Linked DNA regions of Drosophila melanogaster. The gene in region 4 interacts genetically with the main gene of each other region. Each region holds a gene or a part of one and is shown on either strand. Other genes may lie near its edges. The genes, in order: gl, sl, sgg and Pp2B-14D.

Evidence for each region.
Region 1: of Pp2B-14D (region 4) and gl, changing one suppresses a phenotype caused by changing the other (phenotypic suppression), as found in Drosophila melanogaster (one study listed by BioGRID).
Region 2: of Pp2B-14D (region 4) and sl, changing one suppresses a phenotype caused by changing the other (phenotypic suppression), as found in Drosophila melanogaster (one study listed by BioGRID).
Region 3: of Pp2B-14D (region 4) and sgg, changing one suppresses a phenotype caused by changing the other (phenotypic suppression), as found in Drosophila melanogaster (one study listed by BioGRID).

The regions. Positions count from the first base shown.
Region 1 is NT_033777.3:18,367,398-18,374,590, forward strand, and holds gl (glass), read right to left. Parts: upstream 5,342-7,193; 5' UTR 5,120-5,341; intron 4,473-5,119; 5' UTR 4,382-4,472; coding exon 4,336-4,381; intron 4,053-4,335; coding exon 3,922-4,052; intron 3,439-3,921; coding exon 1,946-3,438; coding exon of another isoform or gene 1,942-1,945; exon of another isoform or gene 1,550-1,941; coding exon 1,405-1,549; coding exon of another isoform or gene 1,180-1,404; 3' UTR 530-1,179; downstream 1-529. Other genes in the region: Nup43 (nucleoporin 43kD), read left to right, coding at 1-464. UniProt on the Drosophila melanogaster protein: Transcription factor required for gene expression specific to photoreceptor cells.
Region 2 is NC_004354.4:16,348,358-16,356,336, forward strand, and holds the start of sl (small wing), read left to right. Parts: upstream 1-1,957; 5' UTR 1,958-2,228; coding exon 2,229-3,533; intron 3,534-3,891; coding exon 3,892-4,372; intron 4,373-4,437; coding exon 4,438-5,291; intron 5,292-5,358; coding exon 5,359-6,429; 3' UTR 6,430-7,979.
Region 3 is NC_004354.4:2,645,127-2,649,667, forward strand, and holds the start of sgg (shaggy), read left to right. Parts: upstream 1-1,510; 5' UTR 1,511-1,745; intron 1,746-4,541.
Region 4 is NC_004354.4:16,554,125-16,561,670, forward strand, and holds Pp2B-14D (protein phosphatase 2B at 14D), read right to left. Parts: upstream 5,893-7,546; 5' UTR 5,284-5,892; coding exon 3,571-5,283; 3' UTR 503-3,570; downstream 1-502. UniProt on the Drosophila melanogaster protein: Calcium-dependent, calmodulin-stimulated protein phosphatase. This subunit may have a role in the calmodulin activation of calcineurin.

The DNA.
Region 1 (7,193 bases), on a different chromosome or scaffold from region 4:
AGCCGAAGACCACCTTTATGGTGGCCTCCCAGGATGACAAGTCGAACTTTGTCTCGTCCCTTGCCAAGCATCCGATGCAGCAACATATTTTACTTTGCGGCAGCGAAGAGGGTTCCATAACCGTCTGGGATATGCGAAACCTCAGTTATCCCGCCTCCTATCTCAGCGCTCACAAAAGTCCCATCAACGAGATAGGCTTCCATCAAAAGGATCCCAGCAAACTGTTCACCGCCGCAGAAGGTGGCGAGGTGTGGATGTGGTCAGAGAACAAAGTTCTCGGGTGCGACTATAACAAAGACGGACACAGCCCCTGGTTGTCTGGCGATCGTGTTCGCTCCCTGGTCGATGTGGAGGGAGTGCTGAGTAATGTTCGCAAGTCCATCAACTCCTTCGATGTGCATGGAAGTCGTCTGGTCTGCGGAGGCGACACAGAAGCCGTTTACCTAGTTGATAATATTGTTTAAATGTCAAGCCTTTTGAATTCCTTACCTAAATTATATAATATTTCAATTGTTGAAATCAATTAGTTACTGTATTTAATTTTCGTATATTTATTATTTTCTTTATATACTCCAAAATTGGCTTAGATCAAAGCACCTGTCTTACATCTACGTCTAGTTTAAGCTTAGGACTCTATATTCGTATACAGGTGTTTATGGGTTTAATGCCTTGGCAATTCCAATTTAAATATTCTCGTTTTGGGTGCTGCTGTGTTGTTTGGTCTTATGATTCATACTCATATCCGTCTTAAATCCTATTTCGTTGGCTAATTTGGAATAGATTTATGCGTGTTTTGAACTACCTTATTTAATGGATGAACTAACTTGGATTCAATGCATATTAGGCTAAGCGAATATAATAAATATAGTATGTATAAGTATGTACAGTGCAGCTCTTAGGCCTACTTTTGTTCGATTCTCCGCGATTCCTCAGATTTGTATTGTTTGAGCATTTTTAACTGCATTTGGATGCGGATTTGGGTTATGAGTATTATTACATCGTTATGTTCAATTAGGATTTCAATTTAACACGAACCCAAATTATTTTTCTACAGCAATGTTGAGTATGGCATATACATTATTGTATTTATCAGCGATAGAGTGACTATCCCCGTATAATTCACTGAGTGGTCCTCCTTTAAGGTTTCTTATCCAGATGGGATCCTCCAGATTTTAGTCCCTAGTAGAATCGTTCGAACTTGGGCGCCTTGTTGAGTGCGCAGAAATAATACCCTGAATAGTTTTGTGTGGCTCCGGGTGGAGTATAATCGCCGATGCTGTAGTTCCCGTAGTCGTAGTTACCCATGTGGGCGTGGTGATGGTGATGGGCGTGGTGCTGGTGGTGCATGTGGTGGGTGTGCGGGGGGTGGTAATGCTGGAAACCTCCTGCACTCCTTGGCTTTTGTCATGTGAGCAGGCTGTTGCCACCACCAACTCCGCTGCCGGTGGAGGACTCTCCACCAACTCCGGTTGCCCCATTGCTGCCATTGCTGCTGTTGTTGTTGCCGTGGACGCGCATGTGCCGATTCAAGTTCCCCGACTGCGAAAATCTGTGGACACCAAAAAAGCAATTAACTCGATGTATAACGTTCCAGGACTGCTCTTTGGGGGCCTAAGCCTTTTTTAAGGGGTAATTTTCATCTTTAGCATTACATTTGAATAAACAATTATTATTTCATTTAATTTCAGTTCTTTAGTTGAAGTTGAAAATCTTACGAAAATGCATGAATGAAAATGAATGATGCATATTATCTTTGGTTTTCCTTTTTTTTAAGCTTGCAACAGTCTCAGTTTTGTTCAAGTTGTTAGTTTTATATTGAAACGATAGAAATTATTAAACTATCTTTAAAGCTTTAAGGGTTTACGTAAAAGTAAAAGCAAAACCATTTTCGTTCGTTTAGGAATGAGGAAGGACGGTGTAAGTAAATCCCCCATCCCGGACTCACCTGAGCAGGCAGAGCTTGCACTGGTAGGGCTTCTCGCCACTGTGGATTCGCAGGTGCTTGGTGAGGGTGCTGCTGTCCGAGAAGGACTTCTTGCACGAGGAGCAGCGGTACGGCCGCTCGCCGGAGTGGGTGCGCATGTGCGTGGTGACACTGGAACTCTGCGAGAATCTCCGGTCGCAGATGGGGCAGCGGAACGGCTTCTGGCCGGTGTGTGTGCGTACGTGAGCCGTCAGGTTGGCTGCCTGCGAGAAGCTCTTGTTGCAGTCGGGGCATCGATAGGGTCTTTCGCCGGAATGGGTCCGCAGATGGGTCTTGAGCGTGCTGGGCCGGGCATATGTCTTTCCGCACAACCGGCATAGATTGGGTTTCATCTCGCCGCCACTGCTGCCCTCATCGCCGTCCAGATCCTCGTTGCTATCCTCCTCGTCCTCGAAGGCGGATAGACTTAAGCCCAGGGCGGCTGCCTGATAGCTGGTGGGACTTTTGTGGGGCGGTGTGTATCCCTGATTGCCCACCCCCGTGGGATAGTAGCCAGCCAAAGAGGAGTTGGCCGGCGGCGATGGCGACTCCTTTTCGCCCACCGTCAGCGGTGGCAGGGCACCCAGACCCGTGGGAGCCGGTGCCCGAAAATCCGCTGTAAAGGAATATGTGGCCGAGGCAGGATAGTGACCGGGACTCAGCAGCGGTGGGTATAGCACATTTACCGCCGCTGCTGCTGCTGCCGCCGAGGTGGAGTTACTGGGTGGCGTCCAGTTCATCTGGGAGCACTGCATTGGCACGCCGCCTGCATCACCGGCACCGTAGCCATGGTGCATGGTCATGTTCATGCTGACGTTCACGCTCATGCTGGGATACATGGCTGCCGCCGGAGGAGGAGGTGGTGCGGCCGTTCCAGCACTGGTTTCATAGTAGCAACTGGCAGCGTTGGCCACTCCTCCGGCACTACCATTACTGCCGATATTGTTGCCACCACTGCTTTGGAGGAGAGAGTTGCCTACGTGCGATGCCTGGACTTGGGATTGCTGGTGCTGGTGCTGCTGGTGCTGCGAGTGCATCTGGCCATGATTGTGGGAGTTCGGCGAAATGAGCATCTGGTGCGGATGCACTGTGTAGGAGAGTGAGGCGGCCTGGTGCGGATTGCCGGCGGCAAAGTTGTAGGAAGCGCCGCAGGGCGAGAATGGGAACAGGCTGGGCAGCGGATCGATGTCCAGCGGCGGTAGGCCGGGAAATGTGGAAGCCATCTCGTCGGTGCTCCAGTAGCCGTGATTACCCGAGGAGCCTCCTCCGGCACCGTTGTTGCTGCTCCCGTTGCCGCTGCTCGCCGGTGGTGTCGTGCTGATCTGGATGTGGCCGCCACCGATGCCCACGCCCACTCCAATCGTGGGATCGAAACAGCCGCCGCAGTCGAAGTCGCTGCTGGTGAGCGAGGAGATGGGCAGGGCGGTGCTGCCCTGGCAGGATAGGCAGCCGACGCAGGAAGCGGCGCACTCTTGCTGCACGAGCGAAAACGGAAATGGAGATTGAGACCGGTTATGAAATACATTCAGTTAGTACTAATACGTAACTAAGACAAAATAATTAGTTAGTTAGTGGAAACATTTAGTAAATTTTAACTATTTTTACATTCTAATACTGACTTCTGAGGAGAGTTTAATTGTATTACATATGGAAGGAATTTCTAAGCTATTAAACTTCCCAATAGATAAAATCGTATGGGTTAAAAATGTAATAGATTACTTTAAAAACGAAAATGATAAACTTCTTAGTACAAAACTGTCTGATTTTTCAGTTACCGATATAGCAAATTAAAATAACCACAATTTCGGTATTGGGTTCTATTTCCTGGTTATAAAATTTAAATAGTTCAGGTATATCACAGATTTCAGCTAAGTTCTTTCCACGAAACAAGCACAACCGAACGCTCGAAGATTTCCGGAGATATTGAGGCGAAATCGAAAAAGGATTCCAGGACTCACCTGAGGGCTGTCCAGCGCCAGGCCGAACAGGGGATTGTTGGGCACATAGCCCGTCTCTGGTTCCACAGGACCGCCGTTTGAGACATCGCACGATATGTACATAGCTCCACCCTCTTGATCTTCCAGGGAATCTGCGCAGCCAAAAAAAAAAAAAAAAGAACAGCATGAAAATCACTGGAAGTACGCCAGAGATGCTCGCCAGCAGCGCGTATCTCATGGATACATTTTTGCTCCCATGACAACCACTGTGCGCACTAGCTCCGCCCCTCGAGACACACACAGACACACACAAATACACAAATCGAGAGACCGCCATTTGCTTTGCTCTCTCGACTCGCGACTTTCCATCCGTGTATCGCCATACAATATGCTGTATCTGCATATCTGTGCAATGGTGCTTCCGATTTCACTCACCCAGAATTGTGTTCAGGAGTTTGGAACCCTTATATAACAATCCCATGACATGACTCCACTTCTGGAACGTTTGGGCTCAGCAGTCGCGCATTTGTTCCTGCTTTTCCTACGCTTCATCTTGATGCGTTAATTTCCAACTGCAAGGCGATGACGGAACATTATTGGTAAATTCTAATTAAGATTCACTTTCTATTCATTTATTCAAATCTATTATTCAATTTATTATTTATTCAATCAAATACCAATATCAAATCTAATCTTCATATATTTTCAATAAAGTGTTAATAAATTCAGTTTTAAATAAAGTTCGACAGCTAATCAGAAATTAGATACACAATATGACAGATTCTTCACCTCTAAATTTAAAAGAGATATCGAATTATAGATCGCTCTTATGACGAAGATGGATTTCAATTCGATTGTTTCATTATTGTTAGGACTAAAAAATTATACTAAAATTACAATAACTTTCATTTTGAAAGAAACAAAACGTTAAAATTGCTATTTAACTAATTTATGCATGCAAATCAAAGTAAATTTTTGTTTTTCTTTTTAATGAGATCAAAGCTATGATATTGTTAAATTGATAAAATCTTCTTAGTGAATTGATTTTTTCGATCTTAGCCAAAACATTGTTAGGACATTTTAATTAGCTATTTGCAGTTATTAGGTTTTATTTCAAATACATTAGTTGTATTCCATTTTTTCTTTCTTCTTTTTTATTGCAGATTTAATATTGTTTATTCCGTTCTTTATTCACATATGCACTCTTAATCGTTTTCACCTTCTGAATAGATCCACAAATGGCATGATACCAAGATCACCAATAGAATTTCAACGTTTTCTTGCAAAATATGTTTGTAACTTTTTTTTCGAAGACTCGGTTTTAAGTAGTAACACACGATCGTTGTTTTCCGATTTGAATTTTATGCGTTTTCAGTTTTCGATTTTTCGAGTGCGGGGCAAGAAGCGACTTTTGGCGAGGAGCATAAGACGGCGACTAATTGTCAGTTGCAGTTCGGTTCGAGCCACCTCGGCCCAAAATCGACTGATATATCGGATTGGCAGAGCGGCAGCAAAGCGACAACCGACAACTACAGAGGAAGCAGCAGGGCGCAAAAAACATACTCACTTAATTATAAACAAGCGACAAAAGGGCGCAAAAGACAACGGCAACAACAATCTCGCTCGCACTCACACTTTGGTCGGCTATAATGACACAAGTACGCAGCACTACACACTCGAGACCCTTGCTGAAAGCACCCCTCCTCCAATACCAAACCCATACCATACCATACCCACACCAAGCCATCCCGCACTATATCCCATGCCCACTCCTGAGATTCCATCCATCCACCACCACAACAACGCTGCCGTCATCGTTGTTGGCCAACCAATGCGCTCCGTCTGCCGGCTTTTGCGGCTACTACCCACCCCTCTGCTGCTTCCACGTCCACATCCTCATCCAAATCCAAAGTCACCCTCCTCCGCCTTCGCCTTCGCCTCCATATCCGACTCCTCCGCTGCCGATCCCGCCCAGTCCGAGTTTCAGGCCCATTCATACGTGGCCAGCTACATCGGCAGCAGTTTTCAGTAGTTTTTATTTGTCACCCAATATCTTACAGCTCGACACCAGATACCAACGAGGCGGGGAGAAAAAAGAGTACACTTCGAGAAATAATCGCTAGCAAGCAGTTCTAGTGCTCTAGAATGTTACACTTCAAAATCGATGGCCGTTCAAATAACGTTGTTTTCAATTCACAAACAAGTATCCTCACTTTATTTGTTGAAAAGAAGATATGAAGTTCCTTTTCCTTAAAATCTATAGATGCACAACCGCAGATTGTCGCTAAATTCTTAAGAGGACATCAAATCACTTGAGACTATTTGATATGCTTGTGATTAGTGAATATTTTCGATATATAACATATTATTTACTTTCTTAAAATAAAGGTATTGTAATTTTATTACATAATAAACAAAAAGTACTATAGGGATTATTAATAAACAATGTAATTGGTATGATATAAATATGATACAAGAAGTATTGAAAATAAAGTAATTCACATATTAAAATGGGAATTTTCTGGCAGGGTCTCTGATGAGGGAGGGACAGTTGCTACGGACTTGCCAACCATTGATCGTCTTCGTCGGCATTCTGCTTCCTCTTCGCTCCATTGTTTTGTGGTTAAGTGAGGCAGTCCATCGGCCAAGTCGGCCGGCAACCCCCTGACTGCTTCTGTAGCTTGTATCTGCGTATCTGGCCGTGTGTATCTGCTTCTGTTGCGTGTATCTTTGTATCTCTATCTCCGGCGCTGATTCTCAATTGTAGCCCGGCCAATGACGACTGCCAATCGATCGATGCTCTTGTCGCCGGGCCGACAATCGTGAATAGTTTGAATGTTATTTGATAGTTCGATTTGTGGTCGCAGCAGAAAAAGCAAGGAATAAATCGCAGGCCAGATGGAAAAGCAAATGGAAATTATGAAATAGATGTGTTAAGCCCAACTCGACTATATTTAGCTAAGATATATTATAGATATAATGCTATGAAGAGATCCCAATTCGGATCGATCACCTGGTTCACACGCCCGAAATCGAATTCACCGCCAATTGGCAAAATCAGTTGAGTGCAAAGGCTTGCAGTGATCGCATACGTATCGAGCTATATCCCCCATATCACCTTACCTTATCGATGGGAATTTCAGGTCAAGCCCAGCCAGCGTCGTGTGTGTTAAAATCAGATCCACAGTCTGAGCAGATTCGAACCAGTTTTCAATTTTTATATTTCTTTTTTTTTTTACTTCGCTTCAAGTATCAGTTTCATGTCAACAACTTGGCTAAGGACATGAGCCTGT
Region 2 (7,979 bases), 210 kb from region 4:
TTCGCGTTAAAATATTCATGATCGACAACGCCGATCTTTAACAAATTGCTATGATTAGCAATGAAACATTTTTGAAGCTCATTTAATTTTAGAATTTCTACATCTGTTAATGTTGGTTTTACTTCCAACTTTCTAATTTCCAAAATAATTTCGGACTGCTTCTTAAGGAATTGAATAGTCTTTTCTGACATCATTTTGAAAATTTTTTGTAATTTCTTAATATATATAGTACGTGTATATGTATTTTATATGTATTTATATATATATGTGTGTTTGGATAAACAGAAAATTCTTGTTTTGACTTAGCTGATGTCGTTGTTGTTGCTGCTGCTGTTGCTGCTGTTGTTGCTGCTGTTGCTACTGCTGTTGCTGCTTCTGCTGCTGCTGTTGTTGCTGCTTCTGCTGCTGGTAGAGGCTCCTTTGAATTTGACTTCCTTCTCTTCTTTAAGGCTCCGTCGATGTTTAAAGATGATTTTTTTTTTTTTTGCACGTTTTATTATTTTTGTAGTCCAGTCAGATTTTTTGTTTTTTAGCCATTTATTTCGGCATTTATGCTCTTTTGGCATATACACTGCACTCTATTTATGAGCTGATTTAATGCTATTAGAGCATTTATAAGGCACTGTTTTCAGGCACTTTTTATTTAATTTATGCTCTTATGGCATATACACTGCACTCTATTTATGAGCTGATTTAATGCTATTAGAGCATTTATAAGGCACTTTTGTTATGCACTTTTTAATTTCACAATTGCTGATGTATGGCCTCAAGCACGCCTTACCACAATTTATAATGGTACACAAAGCAACCTTTAGCTATAGACTATAAGGTGCTTGTTTTAAAACATAAAAGATTCTTTTGTATCTTTTGCTTTTTATATTTATACTCTGTTCCTTACCTTTGGTAGGGGGAAACAAGAGTCACTTATTTTTGCTACCTTTAGCTGTAAGATGCTTAAAGGAGCTGGCCTTTCTCTGAGTTCCTTACCTTTGGTAGGGGGAAACTGCAGAGTCGATTAAAGGCTCGATTGACCAAATGTAAAATCCCAAATAAGAAGACTTTACTCGTTGAGTTTTTGTAAGAAACTGATTTTATTTGGAAATATCTTCGGTTTAAATAGGTGACATGAGAATCGCATCTTAAAGTAAATGGCCTACGCAGAGGCCTAAGTAAATAGTCCCCGCCTTATCGAGGTCCCACGCTCGGGCACATCTGCCTATCTTGAGCGGCGAGGACCTTATCTGTGGTCTCCCACTAAGGGACTATTTTAGGAGGCGGGGAACGATCTCAAGTGACTGACTCATGTAGTGTGCACTTAAATTACATGTTTTTGAGCAATGCACCCATGTCGCCTTAGATAACAAAATCCTAAATATAATTTATCGCTCTCGATTCATTTACATAAGATATGAACGGAGCCCAAAATTGTAAGTCTTTAAATATATTCGTGTTCATGTGTGAACAGGTAGAAAAGCAGACAACAACAATCAGTCAATTGCCTAAGCTTATTAATTTGTAAATCTATTTTAAATACAATATCAAGAAAACTTATGTTCGTTTGGTTTCAAGTTAGTTAGTTAGGAATTCTTCAGGTCGGGATTTATTTTCCTATCTACATAAGGTGAGTTATAATAAAAGCTTTAAGCTTCTTCGATTTGGTTGGTATGCTTAGTTTTGCTTTATTCAAAACTAGGAATACTATTTACATAACGAATTTTTGAATCGCACTTCAAAACAAAAGATAAAACTGGTCACACTTTAATATTTCAGTTATTCAAGTATGTAAACAATGGAGCAATTTTTAAGCTAAACTTTTAAATAAAATAGTCAATTTATTTTTTTATTTCCTCACAATTCGAAATACACCGCAGTGTGAACGCCCCATTTGCGTGGATTTAGTATTTTCTGTACCCACATTACGGCCTGGCAACACTGGCACTTTCCTCAACAGCTGGCTTATCTTATCTGCTTCTGTGGTATTTTTTGGGTACAATTCGGATATTGCATTGTTAATCTCGGTTTATTGAGTCCCAGTGGCCGTGATTTGTGCATCGACCAGTTGGAAGAGAGGGAGCAGTTGATCTGCGAATAGTTCCACGCGCTGGCACCCATAGTTTGTATGCATTGCACTTAGTCTGGCGATCGGTTGGCGAGGCGAGAAACAACCTGTGGCAGCCAGCGGATGAGAACTGGATTCGATAGGAATCGACACGTTTGGACCGGACAGGATGAGCTGCTTTAGTGCGATGAGTGCCCCGCTGCTGGGCGAGATGGAGCAGACCATTGGTATGCTGGAGCGCGGCACCATCGTGACCAAGTTGTATGGGAAACAGCGTCGTCCGGATCGCCGCCACCTGATGCTCATACGAGAGACACGACAGCTGCTCTGGGCAACGGTGGCCACACAAACGCCACGCACCGACTACGAGGGCGCCATACAGCTGCGGGAGATTCGCGAGATACGGGTGGGCAAGCACTCGAAGGAGTTTCGCCTGTTTGCCGACGACTGTCAGCGCTTCGAGTCCAGCAAGTGCTTTGTCATACTGCACGGCAATCACTTCAAGCTGAAGAGCTTCTCGGTGGTGGCTCTGTCGGAGATCGAGGCCGACAATTGGGTGCGGGGATTGCGTTACATGGTTAAGGACACACTGGGAGCACCCTATCCCTTGCAAATTGATCGCTGGCTGCGTCGCGAGTACTATCAAATCGAGAATGTTAACACGCATTCCGCCAAGGCCACGGAACAGTCGCCAGCCCAGGTGACCATTAAGGACTTTAAGCTCTTTTTGGCCGGAGTTAGCTGTAAGATGACCACCGGCAAGTTCATGGAGCACTTTACCGAGGATGTGCGGCGCAAGCACGATCTCAAGTTTGATGATTTCTCGCGGCTATATCAGAAGTTGCTGCTGCCCAACGGATTTGCCAGCGTCTTGTCCGGATCGGGAGTGGCCAACTTTCCCTATTCGGAGGACCAACAGGTGGTGCGACCGGCGGAGCTGAAGCAGTTCCTCGAGACGGAACAGCGCGATGTGAGCGCCAGTGAGATCAGTAGCGCAGCCATTGCCTCCTTCATTCGGGACTTTGTTCAGGACGTGGAACGTGATGTTCAGGAGCCGTATCTCACCTTCCCGGAGTTCGTCGACTTTCTGTTCTCCAAGCAAAACGACCTGTGGAACAGCAAGTACGACCAAGTGTTCATGGACATGAACCTGCCGTTGTCCTCCTACTGGATCGCATCGTCGCACAATACCTACCTGACGGGCGATCAGTTCTCCAGTGAATCCTCCTGCGAGGCCTACGCCCGCGCTCTTCGCATGGGCTGCCGTTGCATCGAGTTGGATTGTTGGAACGGGCCCGACAATCTGCCCTACATATTTCACGGCCACACCATTACCTCCAAGATCAAGTTCATGGATGTCATCAAGACGATTAAGGATCATGCGTTCACCAGTTCCGAGTATCCGGTAATATTGTCCATAGAGCAGAATTGCTCCCTGGAACAGCAGCGGAATATGGCGCAGGCCTTGATCGAGGTAAGTTGACCTAATCGAATCTATTAATAACAACAATTTATATATTCCATGCAAACAGGAGATCTGCATGTTTGCTTTTTGATTCATTCGCTGTAATAATGAGTTCTTTTATGGCTTTCTGTGAGATTGCCTAACTTAATATATAATTGAAATGGATTTTGTATATTTCGATAGTTGGGAATATGTATGACAATATGAAGAATTCGCTTTTTATTCGTTTGAATCTAATTATAAATGTAACAGAGCAATATTTTTAGTTACTTAGATTTCAAGACGATGGTAATTAGATATTTCTTGATGCTTTAAGTATTAATCGCATAAAAATCCATTGACTTATACCTTTTATGACCCATTACAGGTTTTCGGGGATATGCTGCTTACGCAACCTTGTGATCGAAACGAGCAGCACTTGCCATCGCCATACCAGTTGCGTCGCAAGATAATCCTGAAGCACAAGAAGTTGCCGCAGTTTGACGACATCGCGAATGGGATTTCTAGCACGGGTTCACTGGGCCATAGATCATCGTTGGGCGGAGCGGGCGGTGGAGCGCATGGGGAGAACGATGGCGAGAATGTGCGCAAGGTGTTCAAGGAGGGACTGCTCTACTTCAAGGATCCGGTCGATAAGTCCTGGAATCTTTATCAGTTCGTTCTGACCCATCAGGAGCTAATCTACTCCTCTGAGATCAACGAGTCACGCAACGGAAACTCCGAGGATGATGACTTTGGGCTTTCTTCGTCGTGCTCCCTAAACAGCAATATGCAGCAAAAGCAAAAGGATACCTCGGCCAACGATGAGCTGCACTTCGGCGAGAATTGGTTCCATGGGAAACTTGAAGGTGCGTTTATTGGTTGACATATATGCAGTATATTCCATTTGTTTCGTTAACAATTTGCATTTTAGGTGGCAGAAAGGAGGCTGATGATCTACTAAAGAAGTACAAACACTTTGGCGATGGTACATTTTTGGTTCGGGAATCGGCCACGTTTGTGGGAGACTATAGCCTTTCGTTCTGGCGACGTAATCGCCCGAATCATTGCCGCATCAAGTTAAAGCATGAAAATGGATCGATCAAGTACTATCTAGTGGAGAATTTTGTATTCGATTCACTGTACTCACTGATCGTTTATTATCGCAAGAATATGCTGCGTAGCTCAGAGTTTTCGATTATACTGAAAGAGCCAGTTCCGCAGCCGAAAAAGCACGAGGATCAGGAGTGGTTCCATCCGAACACCACCAAGGAGCAGGCCGAACAGGGTCTATACCGGCTGGAAATTGGTTCGTTTCTAGTGCGGCCATCGGTGCAGAGCATTAACGCTTTTGTCATTTCGTTCACAATCAATCGAAAGATCAAGCACTGTCGCATTATGCAGGAGGGACGCTTGTACGGCATCGATACAATGAACTTCGAGTCTCTGGTCTCGCTGATCAACTATTATACCCGAAATCCACTCTATCGCAATGTTAAGCTCAGCCATCCGGTGTCGCAGGAGCTGCTGCGTCAGGCGCTAGCGGAGGCGGCACAGGGTGATCATAGTGGCGGTCACGATGACAACGGTGCCTCCAACTACATGGGCTCCAATCTGGAGGAGAATGTCACGTGCAAGGCGCTCTACAGCTATAAGGCGAACAAGCCAGACGAACTCTCTTTTCCCAAGCATGCCATCATAACGAATGTCCAGAGGGACAACTCGATGTGGTGGATTGGAGATTATGGTGGCATGATCAAGAAGCATCTGCCGGCAAACTACGTTAAGGTGAGATGCATATATAGATTTATTTGAAATTCAACTATATTCAACTCTTGAAAATTCCAATGTCTAGGTTATCGATTCAACTACCGAGGACTACAATTCGCTGAACGAAGAGGGCACGGATGGACGCACCGATTCCATTGAGATTTTCGGAGCTGTTGCCTCGCTCTTTGAGTCCAACGATCCGGGGATTATTTTCAAGCTGCAGATACAAACGCCAACGATGCAGAATCCGTTTGTGATTGGCTTCGACAATCAGGAGACGGCGTACGAGTGGATAAAGGCAATCCAGGAGGCAGCCCTTATCGCCAGTCAGCTGGCATCGGAGAGGCGGAAAAAGGAGCGCACTGCCCGGGTGGCCAAGGAGATGTCCGATCTGATTATCTACTTCCGCAGCGTGCCGTTCCGCGAGCACTCGTGGATATTTCAGGAAATGTCGAGTTTCCCCGAAACGAAGGCCGAAAAGCAGTTCTTCCAGCAGAACACACAACTGTTTCTCTCCTACCATCGCAATCAGATTAGCCGAGTGTATCCGAAGGGTCAGCGCCTGGACTCGTCGAATTTTAATCCCATGCCATTCTGGAATGTTGGATCCCAGATGATCGCACTGAACTATCAGACAGGCGATAAGGCCATGCAGCTGAATCAGGCCAAGTTTCGGAATAATGGACAATGTGGCTATATCTTAAAGCCATCGTTCATGAAATCTGACAGCTTCAATCCGAACAATCCGCTGTGCGATGGCCTAAGCGAAGTTAAAGTTAGCATACGTCTGATAGCCGCACGTCATCTATTCCGGGGCGGCAAATCGAACAATCCGCAGATCGTGGTCGAATTGATTGGCGCTAGCTTTGATACGGGCGTTAAGTATCGCACCAAAGTCAATGAAAATGGTTTCAATCCGGTGTGGAATGAATCGTGCGAGTTTAACGTGCGTAATCCACAGTTTGCGATCCTTCGCTTCGAAGTGCAGGACGAGGATATGTTCGCCGAGACGCACTTCATCGCCCAGGCGTGCTATCCGCTGACCTGCATTCGCCAGGGCTATCGCAGCGTCATCCTACGAAATAAGTTCAGCGAGGAGCTGGAATTATCGTCCCTGCTGATCAACATTAAGATAGCAAATGTTACCGCACCGTAAGAGGATTGCTGAGTTAGCTGGATCAATATCAATGATTCCAAATCGAGTGTTTGCGAAAACAATTGCGCTAGATCAAAAGGAAAGCGAACTTAATTCGCAAAAGCAATTTATCAACAACTTGTACATAAGAACATTTCATCGAACTATGAACCTGATTCTCTCACTTGTAATTTGTCTAAAAAGCTTAGGATCTGAAACGTATGATTTAGATTTAGATTACTTTCTATACACATCAGCAGTTATGGTTAGTTCATACTATACAATGAGTATTCAAATGGTAACAATGAATTCTGAACTCCTGGAACTGAAATCAAGTTTATGTAATCCGTATAATTTGTACACTTTTCCATAACACTAAGCATTCAAGTCTGTTGTCCTCTAAATGTTGTATTTGTGCGTGAGATTGATTCAGGAGAATAGAATGATACGAATATGTTTTAACTATTCGTCACCTCATTATAAGCATAAGCAAACCAGATTTGATTTGATTTCGATTTAGGGAACTTGAGCTATTTCCATTTTACCAGTTTTACCATCAAAAGTTAAGTACATTAAGTTGATTCCAAAATTAGAAATAGAAACAATTCATAAACAGCTCAATTGGCATCAATTTAATGGGCATTTGATATTCAGTTTCAGGATCAGCTTTTCATAAGTATTATATTACAATCTTCTTAAAGACTTTTAACTGAAGAAAATAGACCACTTTCATATGTTATCTGGAAAACTATTTTAGACCTTTCTCTTAGCACAAATACTCAAACAGCATTTCAATCATTTAGCATTTACCTTTTTTATTTTCTCTTTTAAAGCTTAAAGTAATAATACAATTTATAAAAAAAAAAGGGCAAAGGAAATTTAAACCACTTTGATTACATATGTCTTCCAGTTGTTTAACAATTACGATATACCACATAATTGTGTCTATGTTATTTAACCACGATTGTTGTAGCTAATGTTACAAAAACTAAAAGTTTGCAAACAATATTAAAATAAAATGTAATTATTCAATTACATTTAAATGAACGTGCCTTAAAATTCGAAATGATCGAAATTTTAAATGTTTGAACGTTAACTATTGAAGTACACCTGTTGCTAAAATAACAAATATTTGAAAAATAATAATATAGCTCAAAGATATCTATTTTTTATAAAATCAAAGTTCTAACTTAGCTTCTTCTCTAAACTGCGAAATCTAAATATCTAAAGCCTAAGTTCAATAGACGTATTATTACTAAATGCATTATATAATTTATATATCTAGATATTCATAAAATGCACTAGTCGATTTAAGAAGTGGAAATTGTGCTCCCTATGCGAATCATTTAGGATTTTAATCTGAAACTATTTGCATTCCATACGAATGCCCCACTGAAACGATCGATATCATTTGTCTTGCACTCGCATTTAATTATTTAACAAACATTCTGCTGTTTCCATTCGCACAATAGTTCTAATTTGGACATTTTGCGCGTTTGAGCGCATTAGCAAATCATGCTTAGTATATATGTATGTGTATATGTACCCAAAATGTATTTCATTTGTACGTT
Region 3 (4,541 bases), about 14 Mb from region 4:
CACTAGAATCAGTAACCATATCGGCCAACAAGAAGGCAGCTAAACAAGGACCCACTCGCGATGTGAAAGTCAAGAGCACGGCCATCGAGAGCGGCCCCTCCAAGCCCCCGCCGGACAAACATCTGGAGCGCCAGTTTGTCCAGTCGGTGAATAGTTAGTGTCCGGTCGCTTTGTTCAGCTGAAGTTATTGCTAATTATTATTAAGTTCTCGTAACTAATTTTGAATTTTCTTCTTCATTTTCTTTCCAGGTAAGTTGACTATCATATTACCAAACTTCCTATAAACGGGTAAGCAAAAGTCTGTTCTCCCACATTGAAGTCTATATATATATATATATGGTGATAACTGCTAAAAGCAAACTTATAGATTGTAATTGTTTTTAAGTGTTTAATTAGTTTATAAGTAAAAGCTACGTATATGTAAAGCTAGCCTAATTTCGCAGAATTTGTAGCTAGTGTTGCCCAAATGGGTTAAGTTACATGAGTTTATGTTATTTTGTTTACAAATGAAATTTGTGGAAATATGTACCAATACAGGGTTTAAGATTTCGATTGTGGCGAACATTTATGGCTGTGGCCTTGGGACTTGCATACTTTCGGGCGGCGCTCGTAATGAACCGGCTGCATTTTTCGATGCTTTCGCAATTAGCGGTGGTTAAAAGACCTCGCCACCCACATCCCCACCTCCCACATTCCCCACCCACTGAATTTTCCACTCTTTAACTCTTCTGTTTTTGTTTTGTTTTGTTGACTCATCGGCACGCGCGCTCTCATTTCGGCCTCTTTCTTTATCTCTTTCTCGGTTACCTAATTTTTGCATAAGTCGCGTCGCCGACACATGAGAAATTCCGGCGCAGCGTACTAACAAATACGCACACACTCGCACACTCGCACATGCAGCTAGCACACTCACGCACCGCATGCAAATTAGCTGTCCGCTGACTAGAAATTCTTTCGCGAGCGCTCTCTTTCCCGCCCCTTTGCTCTGTGTGCTCGCTCGCTCCCCACACGCCGCACACGCTCCCCCGCTTCCTCCCTCGCCGTTCGCCGTCCATGTGACGATCAATTTTAGCGCACATTGGGGCAAATGTGTGGAGCAAGCTGCCAGCGATGCTCTCTTTCGGGTGAGAAACAACATAAATACTTCTTTCATTTAATTCCATTTCCATTTGAGAAGCGAAGCAAAGCTTTCGGCCCACCGTGCAACGTTCAATGCTCCGGTACAGCTGCGGTCAGTCAGTTAGAAATCAAAGTTATATCAAATGTTCCTTGGAAGAGACCAAAAATGATGTGTCATGCCTTAGTAGAGACAAACTTACCTAGAAAGGTGCCTGTATTTATAAACTGGTGTTGACATTTATTTAAAGTTGTAGAAATATTGATTAGTTAGGTGGTCCTTCCGTTGCGAGCGCTGCTGTGCTGCGGGACGCCGGCGCAGGCGCTGCTGCGCTGCCGGCGACGCTGTCGGCTGATGTGAATGTGATGTAGATGCCCATGCTTCGACTCGCTCACTCGCGTTGAATCCATCGAGCAGGCGCGTCGTTCTCTCCTCTCGTTCCGGCGCGTTCCATTCAGCCATTCCGCGACTCTATTTGCCTGTTGTTTTTGTAGCTTTATCAGCGACAAAAAAAAAAAAAAACGAAACGAAACAAATATAAATATAAATAACAACGGCGAAACAAAAAGTGAAACAAAATCGTGACGCGCCTGATTACTTTATTTTTTGTGTCAACAGTGTGTGCAGTGTAATGTGTCTCCAAAAGAAAAATAAAAATTAGAAACTAGTCGAATTCAATATGCATTGAAATCTAATTAGTTGCCGCATTGTTGTTTTTGCCGCCTGACACCATTAGAAAATCACGAAAAGAGCTATCAACATGGCCTAAAGTGACCAATGAATTGGAGTTTATTTCACGGCGTTGTGAAATATGCTCCAACTTTAACCCAAAAACCCACACACACTCATTGCCAATGTATTAATGTTTTTTTTTATTTTTATTTATACTTGGGGGAGATGTGTATTTTTTTAGTGGGGCGAATGTTCTAGAAAGCTCTTTAAAGTACCTCGATTTGTGTGGGAATCTAACGCTCGTTGTTTGCCCCTTCCTCGCAATAGTTGTTTGTGAATATGTTGCGATGTATACGTATCCACGATTTCAGTGCATCTTCACTACCAAATCCAAGAAGAAGAAACTTAAAATTCATCAATGGAAAAGTTTTTGCAATCCCCCTGTCTCGCTCACTTGCTCTGGCCCCCTCAATCGCCGCTCTCTTTCCGCCGCAAGGCGCACAACAAGTGGCAAACCGAAGCGGCGGCGTCGTCTTCAAACCAGTTTTACTGTAGCGTTGTTGTTGCTGCTTCAGCTTACACTGAAAAAATAACGCAGTCAATAACGCAAATTAGTCCATAGCTTGTTGGTACCATTTCGTTTGTATATTTTATAAGCACATTTTGTAAACAGGAATTAATGGAGAATACGCAACACAAATCTAAGGCACGATTTCTAAAAAAGTTTAAATGATGTGGTGATTAATGTTTGTTTATTTATCACGACACTTAAATTGTTCTCTGTGTAATTCTGCGGCTGCTGCGTCTCCGCGATAATTGGTGCGGAGGTTGCCCCTTCAGCCCTCCCCCCAAACTCCTCCATCTACCATTCCATCTACCGTTCCGCCGATCAGTATTTGCTTTTATGGGCAAAAGTTCTTCAATGAGTGGTCACAGCATTTGTGAAGGGAGGGGGGCGGAGGGGGCTGCGGTACGTGCATGCAATTCCTTATTGGCGACAATGTTGAAATGTGTGCGCCTGTTTGAAGGAAAACACCAGAGATCAAACCAATAGCTTTAAAACTTTGATTGCCTTTTGATTAAAGCCATGTGGAACTTAGTGCCATCACCGTTATTGGGCAGATTCTAATTGGTTTTCCAAGTAAGATGCTGAAAATGCAATTTTTTCTCGTAACGTTAATCGGTGAACAGGGAATCCCCCTCATTGATCTCCCAGCGCAGTGGAGCCAAAGTCCTAAGTTTTTTCAGCATGGATGACAGTGCCTATTAGTGTGACCGCTGGTGTTTGTGGTGGCTTGGGCCAAAAGTGAATTATTCATGTTGTTGCTGCTGTCGCTCTGCCAGTGGAAAATTCCCAAAAAAAATTCGCATGAACTGCGCCGGCTGCTCCTCCGCTCCTCCGCTGCCCCACATGCTTCTCCTTCCACTCGTTCTTCTTCTTCTTTGAGTGCCCCCCAAAGGCAAAAAGTCGGAGTCGAAGTTACTTGGTGTGTTAGTTGTTGTTGCTCTTGCCCACTCATTCGCTTCGGTTTTTTTTTATTTTCTTTTCTTGTCTTTAACATTTTTTCTTTTTATAAAAATAGCACAGACGAAGAAATATTTGCACACACACACACACACCACGCACACACGTGTATTGTAGCATTTGCTAATTTTCTTCGTTTGTTTCGCTTGGCGTTTTTTGTTTGTTGATTCGCCTATTGCCTCCGTCTTCCCTCTCGCTCTCCGCCACTTTTATATTTTCAAAGACAGCAATTTGTATCTTTAGTGCGGGGATCACTTTTCTCTCTTAAACCCGACTTTCTCACGCTCTCTTCCGGCGCTCTTTCGTCTCCTTATCCACCACCCACCCACGCCCTAAATGTGTCAATGGTTCAAGGCGGACGAATGAATAATCAAAGAAGAATTAACTCGGAGCTTTTCACATTAAAAAGCTTCTCAATTGTGGAGCTTTGCTTTCGTCAGACTTTTTTCGGGGGCCAAAACTGCATGACGTGCCGCCAAAATCAATAAACATAGTATTGTTTCGCACTTTGTGTATACATACTATGTACTTTCACACTTGTTCTTCCCATCCAATTTATGCAAGATCATATGCTTAGTTCTTAGTACTGCCAAATCCTTACAAAAAAAAGTCGGGTTTAATGCGGCTGTCACCGCCTCTTATCTTTCATTTCCCTCCAATATGCCTCCCACTTGCAGGCAGTTGACTTTGTTTCACTGGAAGCCACGCGTTGCTTGTCGATTTGATCCTCTTATAAATATTTGCACGTCTCGATTTACATTGTTTGCTTGTTGTTTTTGTATGTATGGCATAATGACGTTTACGATGACGCGCTTGAAACGACTAAAAGTCGGAATTATATGGCTGGCCCCCCGTCGATTTCTCACGCCCATTTTTGGAAGTGAATCGCGGCTTTGGCATTTTTGGTATCCAGAAATGTTGTCGCCACTGCAAATACGAACAAAATATACATAATAACATGCGGAATCTGGCCCATGGCGTCGTAAACCGGTGCAACCTTAATGACAAATTGCAAATGTGAATAGAGTGCGTTTCATAATGCACTTCCGGTCATAAAATATAATAATTCCTAAGGCGAATTAATTGTTTATCAATCAATTGTTTTGATACAACAATTTGTCAATAAAGAAGCACACATGGGCACCAAGAATCTGCTGACGTTGTCGCATTCTTGTTATCGATCAATTAACGTTTTTCACTTCAATTTGCAATAAAGTAATTCTTACG
Region 4 (7,546 bases):
GTTTATTAGTAATATATGTTACTTGCACAGGATTTACACAAAACAATTTCAATTCAATTAAGACTTTATTAATTAAATTATTGGATTAAAGATTTGGCAATTTAACAACTAATCACATCTATTTGAAAAACCAATTCGGCAATTGCTGAAATTTCAAAATACTCACATTGATTTCTGGTATTTTTCGTTTGCGCTCTTGCCTCTCGTTCACTCTCATACTTGGAAAAATATTCTTGAATTAAGACTTAAAACAGGTTCAAAATTTGGCGCCATCATTGAATACATGCATGTATTTAAAGAATTGTAATTTAAGCAATTAAGAAGAAAAATGATAACTTGACAATACTGCTCCCAAGGATAAAAAGTTAAGTGATCGAACGCCATAAAATGGAAAGTTTGTTGCTGATTTATTTTATTCCGTTTATATAGTATGTATATGTATGTATAATTTAATAATATAATAAACGTTACTCATTTGTTATCTTTATAATTGCTTTAAGAGGCGAAATGTCTTATATATGTATGTATATACCATGCAGCCGTCTCGTTCCCGCATTTTTTGATTCTGCTTTTGTCTGGGTATTATGTGTTATATTGAACGTTTTAATGCTTTTTAAATAGTTCCCATAAGTATGTTGGCATGGTCTTGACGTACATATTATCAAAATCTACTCATCTCCTCCTCAGCCGTTCTATTCAATTATTTACTTTTACTATGTGCCAGGAAGTTTTGCCTATGCCTCATGCAATAGTTATGTACTTTCTTTATCGAGGGAACTAAGCAAATGTATTGTTAGTCATACATAGTGTAGAATTATTAATACTTCTTAGCTTTATTATTTACCATGGCTCTTGATACACTCGGAATGCAAATCGCCCTAAGAGAATCCAAAATTTACAATTAATTTATTTCAGAAAATTATCTGAATATTGCCTACGTTTAATGGCTTAAAATGTATAGTTCTTTGATAATTAAACTATATTAAAAAAAAAAAATTAAAACTTAATTGTTGACCTATGCGTATTTTGGTATTAACAATTGAAATAAATATTTGTTGTTTTTCAAAAATTATACCTGAAATGTTGTCCATCAATAGAAACATTTGTTTATAGCCTAACAATATGGAATTTAGTTTTCAATTTCATTATTTTAAATCCGTAAAAACCCATACTTGTTGAAAATATTTGCGGCGATTTTCGAACATAAATGCCGATTGATTTTCTGAGTGTATACAATCATTCTATGGAATTGGTGTTCTTGGCGTTCAATACTCGAGACTATTGCAATTAAATGTGATTTGGGGGAACTCCCATTTCACTCGACTAACTAACTAAGTATGCATTTGCGGTGTAACAACATTAACAATTTTAACCACATATAGAACAGAAACTCTGAAACTTAAACGGCCCAACAGCTTTCATCAACTTTCAATAATTATATAGTTGTGGTGGAGGATTAACAAAAAAAAAAAACGCTATATATATATCTATATAAATATGGTGTATCTCTCAATTAGTTGAGTAAGTTGTTTCCATTTCTCCATCTTTTTTTTTTTTATAAAAGCTAAGAGGGAAACTCTGCGACTGCCGCCTCATCCTTGATTTGTTTCTTTTAGCTACGATTTAATTAATCTTGGTATTGTTACGATACGTGCATAGATCACTAAAACTAACTGTTTTCCAATGCCAACTCGGTATATAATATATATATATATCTGTATAAATATTTAGATTAGAGTTCAATGCAATTATTGGTGGTTGAAGAGTCGAAGCAAAAGTACAGCGTTAATATTCTTGGTTCGTGGATAATATGATCTCGATGAAGGCATTTCTTGCGTGAGTATGTATGTGGTATATCTTATAGCTTTTGATTTCGCATTGATAGTGGTTGTGATTAGTGATAAAGGAGAAGCTGATATCATCGGTTTTTGGGAAGAGGTGTAGGCGCAAATTGAGAACTTGATTGCCATCATTATCATTGAATTGATCTGAAACGCCGAAACTCATCCGTTTCTCATGTGTGTGCCATGCCTTATACTTACTTAAATACATCTCATTCGCTTAATCTCATTGCAATTAGCTCATACTAAGTCAAGGAAAATAAGTTTTGTGTTTGTGTGTGTGTGTGTGCTAGCGCTCTTTCTCTCTCAACAAAAATCGATTCGCTAAATTAGTTAATTAATTAATCGTTTAGTTCAATTTACACGCAGAAATATATTATACGTTATTAGGTTTACACAGTAATTTAATAGTTAAATATTTGATTTGCTATTTAAATGGTAAACGATCCGTTCTTTCAGTGTTCAAAATGCATTCACATCAATGGAAATCGATCGATCCTATTCATCAATTTATTAATTAGCTAGACTGTGATCCTCAAACAACGATTATCATCTTGTGTGATCTCTTATGGATTTTTGCTGCTTTTTCTTTGCTTTTGCTTTTGCCATTTGGTTGGTTTTTTTTTGTTTTTTGTTTTTTGTTCGCCAAGCTACTGATAAAACGCAAATAGTTAGTTATACACACACAGTCGTACACGTAAAATGTAACATATTAAGTCAAAAGTTAGATTATGCAACAATAATACATATACATATATTTAAGTATATATTTAAAAAAAAAAAAATAAACTCTGATTTCACTTTCAATGTTTAATTCGTATAAGGAACATTTATGGACTATTGCGGCACATATTGCAAATGGTTTCGAATTTGTTTGCTTGTTTCATTCGTTTCTTCTATGCAAGATTACATTTCTAGAGTTCAAGGATTACGATTATTACAAAAAATGACCTTTGCTCATTTCAAATTTCATTACACTTTCGGTTGCATCTCGGCACTGCGCCTCGATATTTCTAAATAATCATATGTATACATATATGTACGCTTCTTTTTTGCCGCTGCTAAATGTTTGGAACAGATTAGCGCTGGATTTTGTTTCCCATATCTCTTCAATTGGATTAGTGTTTCTTGCCTCTGGGGATTATGGGGATTCTGCTGGGGTTTTTCATCTTAAATTATCGCATTATCGCAGGGGGAGGGATTTCAATTAGCTCTTTCCGTTTTGTTCATTTTCCATTTTAAAATTTGCCCATTTCAGTTTATAGTTTATACATTACAACTTAAGCTAGGTTATGGGTTACGTTATGGGTTGGTTTTCTTCTATCGCGAAAGGGAATTTTCCGTTTTGGGGGCCGGCGCGCCAAAGTATGCCACACATAATTTTAATATCCAATGTGCGCGCGCCTGCGTAAAAACAAATCTCTGCTCCGTGCCGTCGGTTTGGAGGCTCTGGGCCATGGACATAGACATGGGCATGGAGCTGGTGCGGGATCACATACGAAATGCAGGGGGTTATGACAATTACTTAGAATTAGAATTGGTTTTAGTATTTAAGTTGTTGCTCTGCCACATTAAGTTTAATTAAGGTTCCGTTCGGTTGGTGTTCTTTGTGTTGCCTCCGCTCCGCTCCACTCAGCCCCTCCTTCAGACCAATTCAGACCTCGCCAGACTCCACCGTGCCGCATCTGCATCTGCATCCTCGTCCTGCAGCCGCACTAGATGGCACAGCTTACCCATGTCCAGCCCCATTTTTGCCGCCCTGCTGACTGTGCTGATTCGGATCCTCGCTGGGCGTGGGCGGCTGATCCCGCCGCGGCGGCATCCGTTCGTTGACGGCATCCAGGCCCTTGGCCTCCGCGAACGAGGTAATCTTGTGGTTGGGCGAGAAGCCCTGCATGGCGTTCTTGAGCGACTGCTTGCCGCCGGAGAGGGCGCCGAGGGGCAGGGCGCCCGTGGGCGTCAGGCCCTTCAGCTGCAGCACCGACTCGGACTCCTCGCGCAGCACGGAGAAGACGCGCGCCATCTTGCCAATGGCACGGATCTTGTTGCGTATCACCTCCTTGCGCAGCGCCGCCTCGTCGTCGGAGAGCGGCTCCTCGCTCTCCTCGGTCATGAGCTCGTCGTCGGAGCAGATGTTCAGCACGTTCACCAACATCTCGGTGACCTTCTCGCCCACGAAGGGTAGCGACCAGGTGAACACGTCCATGAAGTTGGGCAGCCAGTACGGGTGCGGCGAGCAGTTGAATTGCCGGATGTTCATCACGTTGTTCTCGTACTTCAGCACCGCCGCCTTGTTGTTGTACACGTCGAGATAGTTGGGCGCCGAGAAGATGGTGATCAGCGAGGGGAAGCCGGTGGTCTGGCTTTTGCGGTACATGCGGTAGCCGGCGTCCTGCGCCTCGTGCGCCCGGATGATCGACAGCAGGTTGTTGTTCTGCAGGAAGTCGCAGCAGGCGGCGTAGCTGTAGAAGTACGAGCATCCGCGCACGGAGTTGTGCGTGTAGAAGTCCGAGTTCTTCTCGTTGCCAAAGTCCTCCAGGGGATCGGACCACAGCAGGTCGCACATGGGGCCAAAGGCGGGCGGCTCCTTGAAGCGGTCGAGCCGCCGGATGTCCTCCAGCTCGTGTATCTCCGGCGACAGACCGCCGTGCACGCAGAGGAACTGCTGGTTCATTAGCGCCGCCAGCGGCAGGCAGTCGAATGCGTCCATGCAGGCGTCGTACACGCGCTCCGAGTACTTGATCTTGCACTCCTGCTTGAAGGTGAAGTACTCGGTTAAGTGCCGGCACTCGTGGTTGCCGCGCAGCAGGAACAGCGTCTGCGGATAGGTGATCTTTAGCGACCACAAATACAGGACGCACTCGATGCTGAAGTAGCCCCGATCGACGTAGTCGCCCAGGAACAGATACTTGGTGCTCGCGGGCGAGCCGCCCACTTCGAACAGCTTCATCAGGTCGTAGAACTGGCCGTGGATATCACCGCACACCGTCACCGGCGCCTCAATATCGATCATCGTCTTCTCCTGACGCAGCAGGGCGGCTCCGTCCTGGATGATTTTCAGGGCGGGCGCCTCCTCGATTCTGCCCTCAAGAATGAAGTGCTGCTTGAGCAGCTCATGGTTGGGCTTGCCGGTGCGTTGGTCGAACACCTCCGCCAAGGTCAGCTTGTGGCTGGGCGGGAAGGGAACGCTGTCCACCACCCGTTCCTTGGTGTTTACTGCCGTGTGGCCGCCGTGCAGCTTTCCAGTGCTCGCTCCTGTGCCCGTTCCAGTGGTGGGACTGCTGTTGTCGCTGTTGTTGCCCGCTGCAGCGGTACTGCTGCTATTATTGTTGTTGTTCGAGGCGGTACTATTGGCATCTGTGGCTTCCGCCGATCCGGCACTGACGGTGCGGGCACTTGTTGCCGCCTGGGCAACGCTGCTGCTCTGGTTATTCGAAGACATGGTTGAGACTTCTGTTTCTGTTTCGGTTTTTGGCTCTGCTTCTACGGCTACTGCTTCCCGTTTCCTTTTTCCTGGTTTCTATTCCGGGATTCGGAATCGGACTGCTCCTCTCCCGCTCCCACTTCCACTAGCTCGCTCTCCCGCTCTCGCTCTCCCGCTCTCGCTCTCTCACGGCTCAGTTCTGTTTCCACTACCCACACACACGCACACGCACACTCGCTCACTCACTCACTCACACTCTGGTACTTTCCCTGGCTGCTGCTGCTGCTGCTGTGTGGTTGTTGCTGCTGCTCCTACTGTTGTTGCTATTGTTGCTGTTGTTGTTGGAGTGCCTGGTGAGCCGCTTTATCGCCTTCCAGCTTTGATTCGCTTTCCTTTACTTTCCGCTGGCTTTGCTTTGATTTTGGAACGCTGACTCCGCTGCTTTCTTCCGTGGCCTGCGCCGCTGGCCTAGCCGTTTTCCAAAAGTGCTGCTTTCACTTAACAACAATCATAGTCACTCTGTTTCAGTATTTGCTACTTTTTTCGCTTCGGCCCTGCAGACGTCGTAATTTCTCTCTTTCGCTACGTTTTTTTTCTCGCTTTTTTTAATGGAATTTTCTGCAGTGTGGCCGTGGCTCAAAAGCTCAAACTTACTACACGGCCGCTGGAATGTGTACTCTAGTCGAGACTCGCACCTGGAATGGAAGTCATGGAAGTAGTCGAGTAAGGTACGTGCAAAATTATATCTTTCTCTGTATATTTAATATTCTAAATGAATACGCTTACTTTTATCTCCTTTCTAACAATATATTCACTTTAAAGATGTAGATGGTGGCGCAAAATTAAAATCTGAACAAATTCCGCACAGCAATGTACCACAAGGTGCTAAACTTTGATAATTATATCCAATTGGACTTGGTACATATTCAAAATGTCAACTGGAAAACATTTTATTTTAAAAAAGCTTAAGCTATCAATTAAGCCGTTCATCTTAATTATTCTTTAAACGTAGTTAACTAAACATTATAAAATGAATTAAAATTAGAGAATATGAGAGCCCAGATGCTGAATTTATCAATATAGGTAAAAACCTCATTATTGAAATTCTTGGCCACCTGTCGGTTTCGCCCCACTTACACTTACCTCTTCCTTAATTTTCGAGCAAATTCTGGACATTACTCACTCAGTCCACCACTTCTCCAGCCTTCTACTGGTGGATATGCTTCCCGGGATTAAATATGTATATGCTTATTCTGAAATTCCCCGGTGGCGAAATCGACTCAAACGAACTTTTAGAGGAAATAATAAATGTGCGCGCATTTTATTCTCAGGATAGGTACTTGTATATTTTTTTTAATGTTTTTGTATTTCTTTTTTGGTTGTTTTTGTTTTTTTTTTTTGCTTGTTCTTTTTTTTTCGTTTTTGTTAATATTAATTATGTTAATAACATTGATAATCATTTTGTTTTCATTGGGTTTCTTCATTTTGTTTTGCATTCACTTAAGGTTAAAACTTGTTGTCTGCATTTTGTTGTTGCCTTCATTTATTCTCCATCGTCTACATCTCCATTATCATCATCTTTATCTTGTAAATTAATTTGTTATCTTCCTTGGATTGCGTACAATTTTTGTCACAACGGCGCAAATTTTATGTAATTTTTGCCAGCCAGCTGCCCCTTGCAATACAGTTTATAAATTTGTTTATCCATTAACTTTGGTTTCGGTTTAATAATAAAATTGAAAATTTTTAAGAGATTTATCTAGATGTGATGTTTTCTTGTTTGTTAATTTGTTATGTTGCATTTTTAATATTATTTATTTGGTTTTTGGTTTTCCTTTCCCATCTTCCATCCATTTGTTTTTTGTTTTTCTTTAATATAAGTATATAAACTTTTTGCTTTGACAAAGTTTTTCCAACTTATATTTATCATACATGTTATATATAAATAAATGTTTAAATATATATAAAATATGCATTTAAATTGATTTATCCAAAAGGTAAAGTTTTAATTGTTTTTTGGTTTTTTCTTCACTTGGTTTTTCTTGTTTTTTTTTTGTTTTTGCTTTTCTTTGTCCATTTCTTTTTTGTTTATAATATATATTAAATTGTTTTCTTTTTCGTGTAAAGTTTTTAAAGCATTCGAGGGCAGGAAGTAGATGTTGAAAAATACATGTATCAAAAAAATTAAGGTAACGTATATAATTACATACATACATACATATGATGAAAAGGTTTTCATTCGCATTGCAATGGATGAGATGAGTGGAAACGAAAAACAAGA